2 linked regions of the Macaca mulatta genome follow. The protein of the gene in region 1 purifies or fractionates together with the protein of each later gene. This does not show direct contact. Links are inferred from orthologs where the notes say so. Each region holds a gene or a part of one and is shown in the gene's direction. Other genes may lie near its edges. The genes, in order: CD33 and PTPN6.

Region 1 (8,835 bases):
GAGCTGGGAGAGTCACTTGAGCCTGGGAGGTCAAGGCTGCAGTGAGCTGTGATCATGCCAGTGCACTCCAGCCTGGGCAACAGAGCAAGACCCTGTCTTAAAAAAAAAAAAAAAAAGCACTAAATGTACTGAATTTTCCATTATGTGCCGCATGCTAAATAACTTACAACAGATATTATTTACTGGAGACTTAATTTGTTGTATATCAAATGAGGATTCTACCTCTCTATTAGTAAGGACGAATTAAGAGTTATCTAGATACTATTGTGTGTAGAGATTTGACAAAGGTAAGGTGGCAAGTACTAATATGTCCCAGGGATCAAGGGTTGCTGGATGCATACTACACAGAGTGATATGGACAACCACGTAGCTGGACCTAAAGTTTAATTTTCTCTGTACATTCCACTCATGTTGTCTGGAAATATTATGTCTTTGGGCCATATTTAACTGTGAGAAGCAGATTTTTACATGAAAATGTTGATCCATATCATGAGCCTCTAAAAAAACTTGCTTCTGCCCATACTGAACCAAATAGCAGCATGAACACAAAAAAGTTTTTTTCTGCACTGGTTCATAGAACGAACATGTGTTCTCCCTTTTGTTTTACAGGAAGATGCTGCATAGTTCTTATTTTGGAGATGTCATCGACACTGTGCAAAGCAGTGTACTAGCTGCCAGGGGAAAATTCTATAGTCAAATTTCTTTCAAATTTTCCAATATGCTCCCATGACACATGGCAAATTCCCAATTTTTCACAGCTCTAAATCCAGACAGTATATGTGTGTGTGTGGTGAGGACATGAGGCTATGGATGGGGAACATCTCAAGGGCAGGAATCAGGTCAGTGGCATCTCTTCTCAAGCCCCACCTACACACAAAGGCTCAATGTAAGAATTAAAGAAAGAAGAAAGAAACATGTATGGTGGCTCGCCAGTCAAGACAGGTTTTAGAGAAAACAAACCTGAGAGGAGTTTCTGGCTGAGTTAGGTAGAGGCACACTCTCTTACAGACTAAGAGTTTTTAAGGATTTAGGGTGGGAGGGTTTATCAGAGGCTTGGACTGCTTCTGTGTCTCTTTGTTGTGCTTATCTGGGAGGGAGAGTTGTGTATCTGTTCCCATACATCTTTTTGCAGCTGCAGGCATACCCACTGAGTCTGCATTTAGCTTTCCAACTTAGTGCACCTGAAGGCAAAGGAATGTGCTTATTAAGGCCCACTGTTTTACTAGGGCCCATTGGATGAGAGTGAAGTTTGGCAATAACTCAAGAGACTTTCCCCCCAACCTCCCTCTGTGCCTGAGCTGTCTTATCCGTGTTTCACCGGTCTGCTCTTTCTGGCTGCTGGTAGTTAGCAGAGAAGTGATTTCCTTGAAATGCATGAGGCTAGAAAGGGAGTTGGAACTTAAAGTGGCGGTGTTTGTCCGAGATGACAGTGGTCCTGCTCTGTCACTCACTATGTCTTTAGTGAATGGCTGCCACCTTCACTTTACCTAGGACTCTTCTTTGTTTCTCTGCCCCAGACACTCACACAGACCCTATAGAATCCTATATCCTGCTGGACAAATCACCCCATGGATCTAGGCGAGCCTGTGACTCGGGCCAGGCCAGCAGTGACCAGCCCCCATGCAAACAGTTGTTCACAGAAAAGTACCTCAGAGTGGAAGGATTTTAGACATGGGGTTTGCATGTCTCAGATGGCCCCGGAGGTACTGGTCCAGGCTCCGGTGCTCCTGGGAGGCAAGACTCAGATTCTGCTCCATCTCCTCCCCTCTCTGGGCGGATCTCTGGCATCTCTGGCCCATGAGGTTCAATCTGTGTGGAAGGGACAAGCTCTGAGCACGTGTGGGTCTGAGGTTCCTCTTCCATGCAGGGCTGAGGTCTCCTGCTCCTCCCCAGCTTCCTATCCGGCCCCCTAGCCCTTCTCCTCCACTCCTTTCCTGTTCTCTGCTCACACAGGGAGCCCAGGAAACCTCAGCCTCAGACATGCCGCTGCTGCTGCTGCCCCTGCTGTGGGCAGGTGAGTGACTGCTGGGAGGGGGGTTGTCGGGCTGGGCCAAGCTGACCCTCATTTCCCCACAGGGGCCCTGGCTATGGATCCAAGAGTCAGGCTGGAAGTGCAGGAGTCAGTGACAGTACAGGAGGGTTTGTGCGTCCTTGTGCCCTGCACTTTCTTCCATCCCGTACCCTACCACACCAGGAATTCCCCAGTTCATGGTTACTGGTTCCGGGAAGGAGCCATTGTATCCTTGGACTCTCCAGTGGCCACAAACAAGCTAGATCAAGAAGTACGGGAGGAGACCCAGGGCCGATTCCGCCTCCTTGGGGATCCCAGTAGGAACAACTGCTCCCTGAGCATCGTAGATGCCAGGAGGAGGGATAACGGTTCATACTTCTTTCGGATGGAGAAAGGAAGTACCAAATACAGTTACAAATCTACCCAGCTCTCTGTGCATGTGACAGGTGAGGCACAGGCTCCAGAAGTGGTCACAAGGGAAGGTCATGGGTACTACAGGGCAGGGCTGGGATGGGACCCTGGTACTGGGAGGGGTTTAGGGGTAAAGCCTGTCATGCTTAGCAGGGGAGCTTGACCAGAGGTTGATCTTCTCTCAGGCCCTCACCTGGACGCTCCCTCTTGATTCTGCATCCCCCCCCCTGCTTCTTCTCACTAGACTTGACCCACAGGCCCCAAATCCTCATCCCTGGAGCCCTAGACCCTGACCACTCCAAAAACCTGACCTGCTCTGTGCCCTGGGCCTGTGAGCAGGGAACACCTCCAATCTTCTCCTGGATGTCAGCTGCCCCCACCTCCCTGGGCCTCAGGACCACTCACTCCTCGGTGCTCATAATCACCCCACGGCCCCAGGACCACGGCACCAACCTCACCTGTCAGGTGAAGTTCCCTGGAGCTGGCGTGACCACGGAGAGAACCATCCAGCTTAATGTCTCCTGTGAGTGCTGGGCCAGGATGCTCGGGTCCCTGAGTGCGTAGGGGAGACAGGATGGGCTGGTGCTGGGGACATTTCGTGTCCTGGGGACCTGGCTGAGTTCGGCAGTTAGAAGGACATGAGCCCTGTCCCTTCTGCATTTCTGTGGCTTTGGCAGGAGTGAGGGGAAATGCCTACCCTTATTGCATCTCTACTCCCAACTGAAGGAAATCCTCTCTTCCTCTCTTAGATGCTTCACAGAACCCAAGAACTGATATCTTTCTAGGAGACGGCTCAGGTAGGAAGGCGCCTCCCTGCCTGAGGCTGTTACTGGGTTGAGTCTGTGTCACGTTTGGTCAGATCTGGACTTTCAGAGTCAAATGTTCAGAGGCAAGGCCTGCAGTTAGACACAGGTAGACATCGGACACCTTGGATAAGGATATTTGGGGATGACTAGCAACTTCCTCCTTGCCCATCCAAATAATGCTCTTTGTCTCCCTCCTGTCACTGAATGTCTTGGGGTATTTTATTTTTAATTGATACATAATAATAGTACATATTTATGGATGGCATAGTGATGTTTCAATACTAATAACATATAGTAATCAGATCAGGGTAATAGCATATCCGTCATTTTGAACATTTATCATTTCACTGTGTTGGAAACATTCAATATCCCCTCTCTAGCTATTTGAAACTATCTATTATTTTTAACCACAGTCATCCCACAGTGGTATAGAATACCAGAACTTACTCTTCCTTTCCAAGTGTGATCTTGTATCTTTTAACAAATCTCTCTCCTTATCATTGTTCCCCTAACCTTCCCAGCCCTTATTATTCTCTGTTCTACTTTTTACTTCCATGAAATCAACTTTTTTTAGCTTCCACTTATGAGTAAGAACATGTGGTATTTAACTTTGTGTTCCTGGCTTATTTCATTTAACATAATGTCTTCTAGTTCAATCTATGTTATAGTGAATAACAAGATTTCATTATTTTTTATGGCTGAATGATAATCCATTGTGTATATATGCCACATTTCCTTTATTTATTCATCTGTTGTTGGACACTTAGGTTTATTTCATATCTTCCTATTGTGGTTACTGCTGCAATAAACACAGAGGTGCAGACGTTTCTTCAATATACTGATTTCCTTTCCATTATATAAATGCCCAGTAGTGGGATTGCTGGATCATATGGTAGTTCTATTTGTATATTTTTGAGGAAAAAAAACTACATATACTAGTAGTGGTTATACTAGTTTACATTCTGGTCAAAAGCATTTAAGAATTCCCTCTTCTCTACATCCTCACCATCATTTGTTAATTTTCATCTTTTTTTTTATCATAGTCCTCCCAACTGGGGTGACGTTACTTCATTGTGGTTTTGATTTGCATTTCCCTGGTGATTGGTGATGCTGAGCATTTTTCATATATTTGTTGGCCATCTGTATATCTTCTCTAGAGAAATGTCTACTCAGATAATTTGCCCATTTTTAAATCAGATTGGGTGTCTTTGCCATTGAGATGCATGAGTTCCTTGTATATTGTGTATATGAATCATTTGTCAGATGAATAGCTGACAAATATTTTCTCCTATTCTGTAGGTTGCCTTTTCACTCTGTTGATTGTTTCCTTTGCTGCATAGAAGCTTTTTAGCTTGACATTATCTTGTTTATTTGCTTTTGCTTTTGTTACTTGTGCTTGCGAGGTCTTACTCATAGAATATTTTTCCAGACCAATGTCCTACAGCATTTCCCCTATGTTTTCTTCTAGTATGTTTATATTTTTGTGTCTTACATTAAGGTCTTCAATCCATTTTGAATTGATTTTTGCATAGGATGAGAGGTGTGAGTCTAGTTTCATTCTTCTGCATATGGCACCAGTTTTTCCAGCATCATTTATTGAAGAGACTGAGTGGGACCATAAGACTCTTCCTCCAGCTGGAAGTACAGGCAGCAGGGATTGGTTTCTCTGCTGTTCAGGACCAGAGTTCCAGCCAATCCTGGGCCCAGGCTCCATGCAGCTCTAATTGTGGTATTCAGCCATTACTGCAGGCTTAGTGGAACGAAGATGGAGTTACAGTGATGAAGAGGTGTGTGGCCACTGGCCCCCAGAGGAGGGTACACTCCAGAGACGGCTGTGGTCTCGAGATGGTACTGTGTCGCAGCAGCTTGCCCACAGGGGCTGGTTAGGGAGTTGGGAGTGCACACCGTGTGCTCCTAATCCAGAACCATGCAGCTGCATGAATTCCTGGCAGCTCTTCCAACGGTGCTCAGAGCTTGTGAGGACTGCAGGATTAACCTGTAGTAAGGAATGTAGGTATCTGCAGTGGGCACTGGGGGTTGGTTGTATTCTTCTGCTTCTCATTTCCCTACAAGGGGAAATCCTTCCTGTCTCTGGGACAAACCAATCTGGGCTGGGGAGAGGGAGCTGCAAAGTCTGGGTGCCTCCATGCTGCCCTCCTGGGCTTCCAATTACCACAGGTAACTCTCCACTCCCCTGCTGCACTACAGTACTCTGCCTTCGACACTCCACTCAAATCTCTGCTGTTTATTCATTGCCTTGGCCCTTTCCTGCCCGGGGGGATGGGGGAGGATGAGTTCCAGGCACCTCTGGTCAGCCATTTTGCTCCAATGGGAGCATTTTTTTAATAGGTTTTATTTTTCAGAGTAGTGTTCGTTTCACAGCAAAATTGAGTGGAATCTTCTAGTCGCTGAACATCTTGGGAGCATTTATAAATGAACTTTATTTTTCATGAAAAAATTGAGCAGAAGGTACAAAGACTTCCCATATGCCCTCTACCCTTACACATAGTTTCCCTGGCCATCAGCATCCCCCATCAAAATGGTACATTTGTTACAATCAATAAACCTACATTGACATATCATTGTCACCTGAAGCCCATAGTTTACATTAAAGTTCACTGTTGGTGTTGTACATTTTACAGGTTTCTAAAAAATGTATGATGACATGAATCCACCATGAGAGTATCATATAGAATAGTCACACTTCCCCAAAAATCTCTTTAGGGCATTTTTTTTTTTTTTCTATTGTCCATACCTCAACCCTTACCCCTGACCTCTGTCCAAAGTGCTCACTCCACTGCCTTATTCCAATTAATAATGGCCTGGTCCCTCAGAGGACAGTGAACCCAGTGAGGGCAGGAATAGTTCCCTCAGTAGTTGTCATCAAACTGTTGACAGATGATGCTCAGAGAAACGCCCCTGACTCTGAGTGTTGGGATCTAGAAGGTACAGCCAGGCAGGTCCAGGAGAACTATCTGGGTCTAAGAAGGTCTGAGAACCACCTCCCTGCCCCACCCTGATTCCAGGCACTTTTGAAGGCCAAAAGGAGCACCTTTGACCCTGAGTGATGGGGCCAGTGGGAAGAAAGAAGAGACAAGGCCTATCAGCATTCCAGTGCTTACTCTCTCTCTCTCTCTCTCTCTTTCTCTCTCTCTCTCTCTGTCATCCAAGAGGCTCAGAGCTTCACAGTCCTTCAGTGGCCGTTTCTGAGGTTCATTTCAGAGAGACCGAGGGTGGAGAGGAACCTGGGTCCTAGGAGAGATGGTGTTTTGTGCACTGGAGAGAGAAGGTGGGACAAGAGGTGTCAGGTGTACTGTGTACTTCGTCTCACGGTCATGGTCAATATTCATGTCTATGATGGATGGGAGGATCTAGGAGCCAAACCCCATTTTGGAGGTGAAGTCATCCCTCTCTACATGCTGGAGAGGAGGATACACATACCTGTTTATCCAGATTAGAGTTCACCCCATGTCTTTTTTGTCTGCAGGGAAACAAGGAGTGGTTCAGGGAGCCATCGGGGGAGCTGGTGTCACAGTCCTGCTCGCTCTTTGTCTCTGCCTCATCTTCTTCACGTGAGCATTTTCTCTGGGTCAGGCGTGGACCAGAGGTGGAGAGGATGGACCTCGTGTAGAAGGGTCCTGGAGGGGCTGTGAGGGCTGGAGAAAGGGCAGGGGGTGTGGTAATCTACAGAATCTAGCCTGTAGCCACTGGGCTAGGCATGGGTCTATGCTAGGGCCCTGGTCTCAGATGTCCAAGGAGTGGGAGGTAGAGGAAGACCTTGTTACTAAGTTTTGTTTGAAGGCTCCTGGATTAATTCCACCCCTTACCTGCCAAAGTCCCTCATTCCAGGCTCATAACAATGGCCCCACAGCCTGAGAAAACCAGGCTCAAAGACCCTGGTGTCTCCCATCAGAGTGAAGACTCACAGGAGGAAAGCAGCCAGGACAGCAGTGGGCAGGATCGACACCCACCCCGCCACAGGGCCAACATCCTCGGTGAGTGATGGGGCATGCTGGCATCCAGGATGCCCTGCAGACACCTCCTCCCAACATGGCCCACAGTCATGCCCCATTCAGCATTTCCAGAACTGAGCTTATTGTCTTTCCTCCTGTTTAACAGTGTAAGTTTTTTTGTTTTGTTTTGTTTTTGTTCTTTTGAGACAGAGTCCCGCTCTGTCACCCAGGCTGAAGTGCAGTAGCACAACCTCGGCTCACTGCAAGCTCCGCCTACCAGGTTCAAGCCACTATCCTGCCTCAGCCTCCCGAGTAGCTGGGACTACAGGCACCCACCACCATGCCCAGCTAATTTTTTGTATTTTTAGTAGAGACAGGGTTTCATCGTGTTAGCCAGGATGGTCTCGATCTCCTGACCTCGTGATCCGCCCACCTAGGCCTCCCAAAGTGCTGGGATTACAGGCATGAGCCACCATGCCTGGCCCCAACAGTGTAGGTTTTAATGTTATTCAGGTATGTTGAGGCCAACAGATCAGGAGATTATGGCCATTGAAAAGACAGTTTCTTGGCCGGGCGCAGTGGCTCATGCCTGTAATCCCAGCACTTTGAGAGGCTGAGTTGGATGGATCATGAGGTCAGGAGATTGAGGCCATCCTGGCTAACACGGTGAAATCCCATCTCTACTAAAAATACAAAATAATTAGCCAGGCATGGTGGTGGGCACCTGTAGTCCCAGCTACTTGGGAGGCTGAGGCAGGAGAATGGTGTGAACCCGGGAGGTAGAGCTTGCAGTGAGCCGAGATCGTGCCCCTGCACTCCAGCGTGGGCAACAGAGCAAGACTCTCTCTCAAAGAAAAAAAAAAAAAAAAGATAGTTTCTTATTCACTGTTCCCAAGAGGAGAGGGTGCACCACACCATGCAAGACCATATAGAAAAGCACCAGGGTCAGTCAGGAAGCAGAGGGAGCAAGGGGAAAATGGGACCAGAGCCTTTACTGTGGCTTTCATCGAAAATAATGGGTAAGACTAGGGTAAGCAAGCTAGGCAGGTTTAGGATTGGCTACTTTGAACAATTTCAGCAGACTCTGGGGTATAGGAGTTGTGTCTAGTTGTCTGGTACGTGGCCCTGGGTTTATTAAGGGGGATTGTGGCCTGGAGTGTAAGAGCTCAATAAAGGATCCAGCTGGTAGTGTGGGCTTTAGATTGACTGGTTTGCACACGAAACGTGCACTTATATGCAAGCCCTTTATTAGCTCTAGAAATCTACTATCCCTGGGAGAGGTAGTCTCTCAAGGTTCAGCAATGCCCCAGATGTCGGAACATCAGGAACACTTGGTTGACACACCTCTAAATATACTTCTCCTGGTTGGTTCTCTGTCTCACTAATGGTACTCTCGTCCCCATTACCCAACCAGAGACATGGCCCCCTCCTGCCCCAGTCCTCCATCTCTTCTTCCTGTGCCAGTATGCTACGATGCATGTCTGAGCTTCCTCTGAACACAGCTTAACACAATCACTCCTTCTGAGCTGAGATCCCCTGTTACTCCTTATTCTGCTGCAGCCTCACCTCCCATTTCTCCTCTCCAGAACATTACCTCCCTAAAAGATCATCGTCCCCTCATTCCCAAGTTTGAAATGCACTGCTTCTCCACACT
Region 2 (8,835 bases), on another chromosome or scaffold:
ATCAGCCATGGCGAGGACCTTGGACCCCAGGCCCCCGGAGATAGGCCCCCTGGTGGGAGTCCTGGGGCGGGGCAGAGGCCTAGGGACAAGAATCAGAAAAGACCCAAGTTTGACAGGGCTGCTCAGGGTCATGCTGTCCATCCCTCTGCCACAGTGGCATGGACAAAACGCATATGTTGGTTACAGAAGTGCACCCTTCTCTCTTGCAAGCACTGGCAAGGTCTTAACTATCAGTCTCCCACTCCCATGGCAGCCCCTTTGCACAAGGAGGCTCTTAATCTCTGTTCTTTGAAGCCCTGAGGGCTGGTGTATAGGAGTTCAAAGCATTGGCTTTGGAACCGGCCTGTCTGGGTTTGAATGCTGGCACTGCAGCTGACTCACTGAGGGACTCAGGCAATGCCTTACCCTTCCTGAGCCTCAGGTTCCTTGTCTGTGAGATGATAAAGATAGCCCCTATTTCATAGGGCTGTGGTGAGAAATCAATCAGACGAGGCATGTGAACGCCATTATAGCACAGCACCCGGCATCCAGCAGGACTCACTCGCTGACAGCTGTCACCGCCATCATTGTCATTAGCGTGGGCCAGGGAGGGCTGTGTAAAAGCAGCTGGTGGAGGAGGAAGAGATGCCGTGTGAGCGTCTCGGTTCACATGCATGAAGTATGATCTGGGCCTGGAGTGTGCAGTGCACACGTGTGTCCTTACTGCATGTGTTGTCACATGTGTGCAATGCCATGCTCCTAAGCCTTTGATTGCAGACGTGTGGGAAGTGGGCCCCGTCCCCACCCCCAGTGCCACCGTGCTCTGCTTCTCTTCCCTTGCTCTGCTCTAAAACGAGAAGTGCAAGTGAGTTCCCCCAAGGGGTCGGCCGCGCCTCTTCCTGTCCCCGCCCTGCCGGCCGCCCCAGGCCAGTGGAGTGGCAGCCCCAGAACTGGGACCACTAGGGGTGGTGAAGCGGCCTGGCACTGGGAGCTGCATTTGAGGCTTAGTCCCTGAGTTCTCCGCCTGCCCAGACTAGCTGCACCTCCTCATTCCCTGCGCCCCCTTCCTCTCCGGAAGCCCCCAGGATGGTGAGGTAAGGGCCTGCCACCCACGGTAGACAGGAGGCAAGGGTGCCTGGTGCCCACGGGACCCCTCCTCACTGCCCTGCCTGGGCCGCCCAGGTGGTTTCACCGAGACCTCAGTGGGCTGGATGCAGAGACCCTGCTCAAGGGCCGAGGTGTCCATGGCAGCTTCCTGGCTCGGCCCAGTCGCAAGAACCAGGGTGACTTCTCACTCTCTGTCAGGTAGGTGCCCCCACCCCCGGCGTTTTGGCCACTGTCTTGTGCCATCCAGGCCCTGAACCACTCACTCCTGGTTCTCCGTGGCAGTGCCGACTCCCCGACCCCCACGTCCCGTCTGTGCCCTCGCGCCCCACCCCCGCCCTCCCCACCCCTGTCTGTGCCCACCCATGCCCATGTGTGCCCCCACCCAGGACCTCAGCCGATCCCTGCCCTCCTGCTTTACTCCTGCACCGACTGGCCTCACCGCCTGGTGCCCTGCAGGGTGGGGGATCAGGTGACCCATATTCGGATCCAGAACTCAGGGGATTTCTATGACCTGTATGGAGGGGAGAAGTTCGCGACGCTGACAGAGCTGGTGGAGTACTACACTCAGCAGCAGGGCGTCCTGCAAGACCGCGACGGCACCATCATCCACCTCAAGTACCCGCTGAACTGCTCCGATCCCACCAGTGAGAGGTGAGGCCTCTGTACCCCCGCCACTCGCAAGCAGGGGTGAGTCGGCTCCCGCCCTGAGCGGCCAGGGAGACAGGGAGCCTGGCACCCGGCACTGCCTGCCCTCCATCCCCTCCCCTCCCCGCACCGGCTGGGGCTCTCAGTGTCCCTCCTTCATGCTGTCCTGTGGCCTGGTGTCTCAGAGCCTAACCTACCACCCTTTCCACCTAACCCCGAGGAAGCCAAAGAAAGCTGCCTTGCCCTATACCAGGGGCCCTGGCCGCTGCAGCCCAGGTCCCACTAGACACAGGGAGGCCACTGCTGGTGGCCAGCATATCGTGCCGGCCAGCTCTGTTGTTAGAAAGCTCTTCTTCCTCTGGAAGCCAGCCTGCCCTCCTCCGTCTGCCTCTCACCCCAGTGCATGTCAGGACAGTGAGGAGCTGACACTGCGGATGAGGATGGGGATGAACGGTTGCCAGGACGCTTGACACCTTGTCCCAGCCGCCCAGTGGGGATGGGTCTGTCCTGTGGGGTCAAATACAGAGATCACTGAAAGCAGGATGTGAAGTGTTCACCTGTGTAAAGGGTCTCACACTGTCTCAGGCACAGAATAATACTCCAGGCATTTCCTTCCTGTGCCCTCCTCGACTCCTCCTGTGGTCTTCCAAAGGCATGGATGGGGGGCTGGGGAGCTTTGAACACTCCTCAGGACACCATAGCTCCTTCCAGCAGCCACATCTCAATGCCAGATCCTCTTAAAGGGCAGCGGAATAACGCTAGGGGGTTTTCACACGGACCCCTGGGCCAAGCCGACTTGCCCTTGCCCTGCATTCGTGGATCGATTGTTGAAATGATTGGGAAACTTGCTTCTGCCAGCTTGCAGCCTTTCTTAGATTCGGGCCTCCAAACTGCCTCAATATTTTTGGTCAGGTCACTGATTGAAACTTAGAGCTGGATTCGGTCGCGGTACAGCCCTGTGGCCCACCTGGGAGGCCTCCTTTCCTGGATCTGCCTCCTTCAAGGCCTTCCTCATCTGAGCCTCACATGGCTGGCTCTATGTCTGCCCCCTGCCCTTCCTCTTCCCCACTGCAACACTCAGGGGGCTTCTGCCAGCGAGACCCTCTAAAGCTCATGTCCTCTGTTTCTCCTTGCCTCAAGCTAGGAGGAGGAGGACGGGCTGACCAGTGCCTAGAGTTGGAAGAGAGGAGCAGGGCCCCAGGAGGCCCCTGCAGAGGAGGCTGAGGCCTGGGTTCAAAGAGAAGAGAGAGAAGGAAGGGAGGGCAGTGCTGGGGCAGGAGGTTAAGACCGGGGAAGCCACACAGAAGGCCCTTTTGGGTGACCCATCCCAGGAGCCAGTGTCACCCCCGAACCTGGGAGTGTGTGAGAGACTTTCTCCCAGGTTCTGCTGTGTCCCCTGCCTTGTCTGTGGCACCTCCTTCTCTGCGGGAATTTGCATCTGTCCCTCGGTGGCTCTGCGCTTCCTGTGGTCAGCCTGACATTTGCATGGAGACTTCCTCATCCTGGGGCCCAAGGGAAGGGGCTCAGCCCCCTCCCTGCTGCCTGGGGTCCTAGCCTGTCCCCAGGTGGTGGGCTGAAGTGGCCTAATGGGGTATGGAGGCTCTGGGGGGTCTCTCAGCTGGAGTCACCTCTGGGCAGGGGTGAGATGGGTTGGGACAGACTGGTCCTCCCCTCTTCCCCCCATCCCTGCGGTTGGAAAATTTGCCCGCCCTCCCCTTGTCCCTGGGCTGAGGAAACCTCACAACCTCACTTCTCACTCTCTCCCCAGAAGGAGTTTTGTGTTTTTTCCATCACGTGGTTTCCTGTGGGGCAGGGCATTGTGGGGCTACAGTTTCCTCCTGGGAAAGGGGTGTGCTTTGGGGAAAGGGCTTAGTTCTGCTTTCTGCCCCGACAGCCCCTTTGAATCCCTTTGAACCCTTTTGAACCCTGGGCTCCCCTTCAGTGACATCATCCAGGGCACCCCAGAGCCCCCTACACCACTCTTTCCCCAGTGGGGTTGTCCTCCCCGCCTCCCTGGGGGAGCGCACCCCATTGGCCTTCCTTGTGACTTGTGTCTCTCTGTCCATCTCCCGCCACTCCCTGTGGTGTGGCCTTGGTCTGTGTTTCTCTTTGCCTCTGGTCTCTGCCGGGGCACAGCCTGATCCTTCATGGAGACTCTTCCTTAGTTTCCCTCTTCCAAATATTTGGAATATTGCCAGCCCTTCTGCCTTTCAGAGGTGGTCTCTGGGTTCAAAGCCTGGTCAGAATTCTGGGGGCTAAGATAGCTTGAGCCTGGGAGGTCAAGGCTGCAGAGAGCAATAACCGTGCCCCTGCACTCCAGCCTGGGCAACAGAGCTCGGGAGGCTTGCCTTGGAGTCCATCAGGGGCCCTAGGCCAGTGAGTAACAGCTCAGCGTCAGTTTCCTCATCTATAAAATGGGGGTAATATCATACCCAGCCCTCAGCATGTTTGTGAGAGGCATCAATACGATGGTGGATTTGGAACCATCTAGCGCAGTGCCTGGCCACAGTAGGTGCTTGATTTCCTGCCCCTCTCTGTGAATATCTTTGCTCAGCACCTTCCCCTGTGGCCTGGGTCTCACCTTCCCTGACGCTGCCTTCTGTAGGTGGTACCATGGCCACATGTCTGGAGGGCAGGCAGAGACGCTGCTGCAGGCCAAGGGCGAGCCCTGGACATTTCTTGTGCGTGAGAGCCTCAGCCAGCCTGGAGATTTTGTGCTATCTGTGCTTAGTGACCAGCCCAAGGCTGGCCCAGGCTCCCCGCTCAGGGTCACCCACATCAAGGTCATGTGTGAGGTAAGGCAGCCAGGTGGTGGGGGAGCCTCTGCTGAGGCTCCTGTCTGTGACCGCAGTGTGGGTGGCAGGGAGGGTCTGCCTGGGCTTGAATTCAAGGCTGGGGCTCAGGGAGGGAGACTCGAGCCCTGTGAGTGGCCTTATTTGGCTCCCTCCAGGGTGGACGCTACACAGTGGGTGGTTCAGAGACCTTCGACAGCCTCACGGACCTGGTGGAGCACTTCAAGAAGACGGGGATTGAGGAGGCCTCAGGTGCCTTTGTCTACCTGCGGCAGGTCAGGCGGGGACCCAGCTGCTTCCTCCCTTCCCCTGAGCTGTCCCCCAGGTGTGAGCTTCTGAGACCTCTGAGTTGCTGACTTCTCGCTCTCCCCTATCCCAGCCGTACTACGCCACGAGGGTGAATGCGGCTGACATTGAGAACCGAGTCTTGGAACTGAACAAGAAGAAGGAGTCCGAGGATACAGCCAAGGCTGGCTTCTGGGAGGAGTTTGAGGTGCATGGTGGGGAACTGGCAGGGCTGGGGCAGCTGAGGCGGTGGCGGCCGCGTGGGGCCCCAGGCGGACACCTTCCTCCCCTTGCCCACCTCTGCTCCTGACCCACCCCACGTGAGCTCCCCTGATGGGTGCTCTCTCTGGGAGGTGATGCTCATTTCCTCACCCACATCTCAGAGTTTGCAGAAGCAGGAGGTGAAGAACTTGCACCAGCGTCTGGAAGGGCAGCGGCCAGAGAACAAGGGCAAGAACCGCTATAAGAACATTCTGCCCTGTGAGCACCCAGCCTGCCCCATTCACCCAGGAGACCGCCCCACCCCAGCCACTGCCCCTGCCCCATTCACCCAGGAGACCTCCCCTGCTGCAGCCGCTGCCCCTGCCCCATTCACCCAGGAGACTGCCCCGCCCCAGCCGCCACCCCTGCCCCATTCACCCACCCAGGAGACCGCCCCGCTCCAGCCGCCGCCCCTATCTCACAGGTCTCCACCCTCCACTCCAGGAGGGGCCACCTCCCCACACCCCTTCTCCAAAAGGCCTCTACTCCTCCCAGAAGTGCCTCCCCACCATCAGCAGGCAGGCTGCCCCTTGCTCCCAACCTCCTTCTTGTGAATCCCCTCACTCCCTCCGTACAGATGATCCCCCACCCCTGCTGCCCACAGTCCCCCGCAAGCCTCATGGCTTCTGAGACCAGAACGGCCTGTTAGCTCAGGAGGGTCTGACGCAGGTGTGGTGAGTCCCTGGCTGACCCAGGCCATCTCGCCTCCTCTCCACCCACTCCCAGTTGACCACAGCCGAGTGATCCTACAGGGACGTGACAGTAACATCCCGGGGTCCGACTATATCAATGCCAACTACATCAAGGTCAGTGGTGTGGGTCATGTGGGAGGAGAGGCTGGGCCCTGGGAATTCCCTGTCTGGTGGGGGACCCTAGATCCAGAGACACCTGGGCAAAGCCAAAGCTGGCTTCTTGCATGGGTGAGGGGAGCAGTGGTTCAGGCCCTGTGCTGGGCTGAGGGGCTCACTGTTTTGGGGTGCGTCTCTCCACGCTTGTGTCCAGAACCAGCTGCTAGGCCCTGATGAGAACACTAAGACCTACATCGCCAGCCAGGGCTGTCTAGAGGCCACGGTCAACGACTTCTGGCAGATGGCGTGGCAGGAGAACACCCGCGTCATCGTCATGACCACCCGAGAGGTGGAGAAAGGCCGGGTAGGGCACCCCGCCCCATCCCCACATCCTTGCCCCGTCCTTGTGGTCATACCATTAAGTCAAAGAACCGTCAGATGCCAGAGCAGAAAGGGATCTCGGGGGTGAGGGTCCAGCCTTGTTGGGAAACTGAGGGCTAGTGACAAAGTCTCGACTACACGATGCAACCCCCAGATCCCTGCATGCACCCCTGGGCTCTTCTGAGCTCCAGACCCAGGTTTTAGGCTGTCCTCCTTCCTCCTACACCTTCCCCACCTGTCTGCATCCAGGCCCCTCCTGTCCTCCCTGCCCCATAGATGTCTGTGGAGTCTGCCCCTCACTCTGCAGCCTCCCCTTACACAGCACCCTCTGTGCTGCCGTTGAAGTGATGCCATCCGTGACAAACTGGGTCGAGTTCCTTCCCCTCTGAAATCTCTTCCATGGCTCCTGGTCACCTTTGGGATAAAGTCACACTCGAAGGCCTGGCGTTCAAGGCCTGGTGGTTTCCCTCTGACTCCCACGCTTCTCTTGAAGGCTCACCGCTTCCAGCAGCCGCGGCTCTTTCAGGTTCCCAGCCTTTCTTTGCACAAGCTCTTTTCTGCTAGGAAATGACTCTGTCTCCACACTGTCTCCGCCCGGCAGATGCCTCGTGTTTGAAGACACAGCTGAAGCGCTGCCTTCTCTGTGAATTCAGGTCTTGTTTTCTCCAGGACCTAGAGGGCGAGTTTCCTCGTTCCCAGCCACGCTCCTCAGCGCGGCGTCTCCCCGGTCACTTGTCTCTGTGAGCTCCTCCAGGCACAGGGGCACAGACTGGGTGTTAGCTGTGTCTGTGACTACAGCCTGGTTTGCACGGCTTCGGGGACAACGCCTGCCTCGGCAATGTTTGTTGAATGACAAATGGATGTACCAGTAAAGCGGCTGGCCAGGTCGCACCACCTGTTGGTGGCTGATCTGAGACGAGAGCCCAGGTCTCCTGCCTCTCTGCCAGCTCATCTATCCATCCAACAAACGTTTGGGCCGGTGCCAGGCACTCAGAACCTAGAGCGGGACCTGGGATGGGCCACAGCGCCCTGCTCTGTGCCTCATCCCCACCCGACCCTCCCTTTCCAGAACAAATGTGTCCCATACTGGCCCGAGGTGGGCACTCAGCGCGTTTATGGGCCCTACTCTGTGACCAACTGCGGGGAGCATGACACGACCGAATACAAACTCCGCACCTTACACGTCTCCCCACTGGACAATGTGAGCGGCCCCCACTCCCTGCCCTGCTCCGGGAGTCCCTCCCGGACTTGTTCTCCTCTCTGGTGGGGTAGGGCGAGACAGGTGGGGTGTTCCGAGGGAGCAGGGGGCACTGACCCTGTGTCCTCGGCCCAGGGGGACCTCATTCGGGAGATCTGGCATTACCAGTACCTGAGCTGGCCCGACCATGGGGTCCCCAGTGAGCCTGGGGGTGTCCTCAGCTTCCTGGACCAGATCAACCAGCGGCAGGAAAGTCTGCCTCATGCAGGGCCCATCATCGTGCACTGCAGGTGAGGATGATAATCCTGATGGTAGTAGTGGCCGCTGAGAAGTAAATACTGCTAAGTGCCATGAGCGTTATAAGCAACATACACGTTAGCTCACACGATTAGTGCCTTCCGCTCACTCCCAGCTTCTTCTGGGTCCCCTCATGGCTCCAGACCCCTGGGTGGAACGTGGCTGGAACCAGCCCCACTTTGGCCCTCTGCCTGTGGTTGTCTTCCTCAGAGCCCTCCCCAGATGTACCATCTCGCCCAACCCTGCCAAATACAGAGGAGGAACCTGGGACCCAGTTGCTGGCCAGGCCCAAGCTAGGCAGGGCAAGGCCGGGCAGGCACCCACAGTAGGCCTGGGTCCTGGCTGCTCCGCTTTCTCTCCAGGTCTCACTCCGTTGGTTTCTTCTCGCCTCCCAGGAACATCCATGGGGCTTGTGCTCCCCGTTCCTCCTCTTTTTCCATCGGTAGACCCAGGGCTTTGGCTTGTTCCTGACTCCGCCCTCTCTCCCAGCTTCCCCAGGCGGCGCCCCATCCTGGCCCCCAGGGCTGTGTGGGGATGGACAATGCCTTTTTGGGGGTGCACATAGCTCCTCTATCTACCCTCATGTTTGTGATCAGGAGACCCTGGTAAGGTGCAGAGGTGGGGGCCTCAAGGAGGAGCAGGGGTCCCACAGATGAGCCCACTGAGCCCGCCTGGCCTGGGTGGATGAGAGGCAGCGGGTGCAGGGCCCCTCCGCTTACCAGCTGCGTGATCTTGGACAAATTACTTAACTTTTCTAACCCTCAGCTTCCTCCTCTGTAAAATCAGGACCTCAGGGTTGTAGTGAGAACTCAATGAGACCCTGTCGTTGCGGCTGGAATTCCGTCAGCCCTCAAACACGGGGCGCTGTTACTGGTTTAGTAACTCACGTCAGGCAGAGAATGGGGGAAATGAGAACCTGCCTTGCTCTGGTCCCTTCCCACTCCCACCGTGGACCCCAGGCCTGCGACAGTCTCTGGCTTCCTCCTCTTCCCCCAGCAGCTGTTTGTCCTGGGACAAGTCAGCTGAATCTAGAGGTGCCCCCGATGGGCTGTCTCGGGGACCCGGCTCTGTCCTCTGCTCTCTCAGAGACAGGCCCATCCCC

The links.
Region 2: the proteins of CD33 (region 1) and PTPN6 purify together in Homo sapiens (co-immunoprecipitation; 4 studies listed by BioGRID and IntAct, with this or other methods). This does not show direct contact. The link is inferred for Macaca mulatta from reciprocal best matches to the Homo sapiens genes CD33 and PTPN6.

The regions. Positions count from the first base shown.
Region 1 is NC_133424.1:63,509,016-63,517,850, forward strand, and holds part of CD33 (myeloid cell surface antigen CD33), read left to right. Parts: intron 1-609; 5' UTR 610-806; coding exon 807-839; intron 840-1,819; exon of another isoform or gene 1,820-1,953; coding exon 1,954-2,014; intron 2,015-2,076; coding exon 2,077-2,457; intron 2,458-2,666; coding exon 2,667-2,945; intron 2,946-3,171; coding exon 3,172-3,219; intron 3,220-6,715; coding exon 6,716-6,800; intron 6,801-7,141; coding exon 7,142-7,223; intron 7,224-7,694; coding exon of another isoform or gene 7,695-7,703; exon of another isoform or gene 7,704-7,838; intron 7,839-8,835. UniProt on the Homo sapiens protein: Sialic-acid-binding immunoglobulin-like lectin (Siglec) that plays a role in mediating cell-cell interactions and in maintaining immune cells in a resting state.
Region 2 is NC_133416.1:7,923,647-7,932,481, forward strand, and holds part of PTPN6 (tyrosine-protein phosphatase non-receptor type 6), read left to right. Parts: intron 1-464; exon of another isoform or gene 465-1,065; coding exon of another isoform or gene 1,066-1,073; intron 1,074-1,161; coding exon 1,162-1,284; intron 1,285-1,542; coding exon 1,543-1,737; intron 1,738-4,336; coding exon 4,337-4,526; intron 4,527-4,681; coding exon 4,682-4,798; intron 4,799-4,902; coding exon 4,903-5,016; intron 5,017-5,191; coding exon 5,192-5,288; intron 5,289-5,795; coding exon 5,796-5,875; intron 5,876-6,071; coding exon 6,072-6,221; intron 6,222-7,307; coding exon 7,308-7,439; intron 7,440-7,571; coding exon 7,572-7,726; intron 7,727-8,835. UniProt on the Homo sapiens protein: Tyrosine phosphatase enzyme that plays important roles in controlling immune signaling pathways and fundamental physiological processes such as hematopoiesis.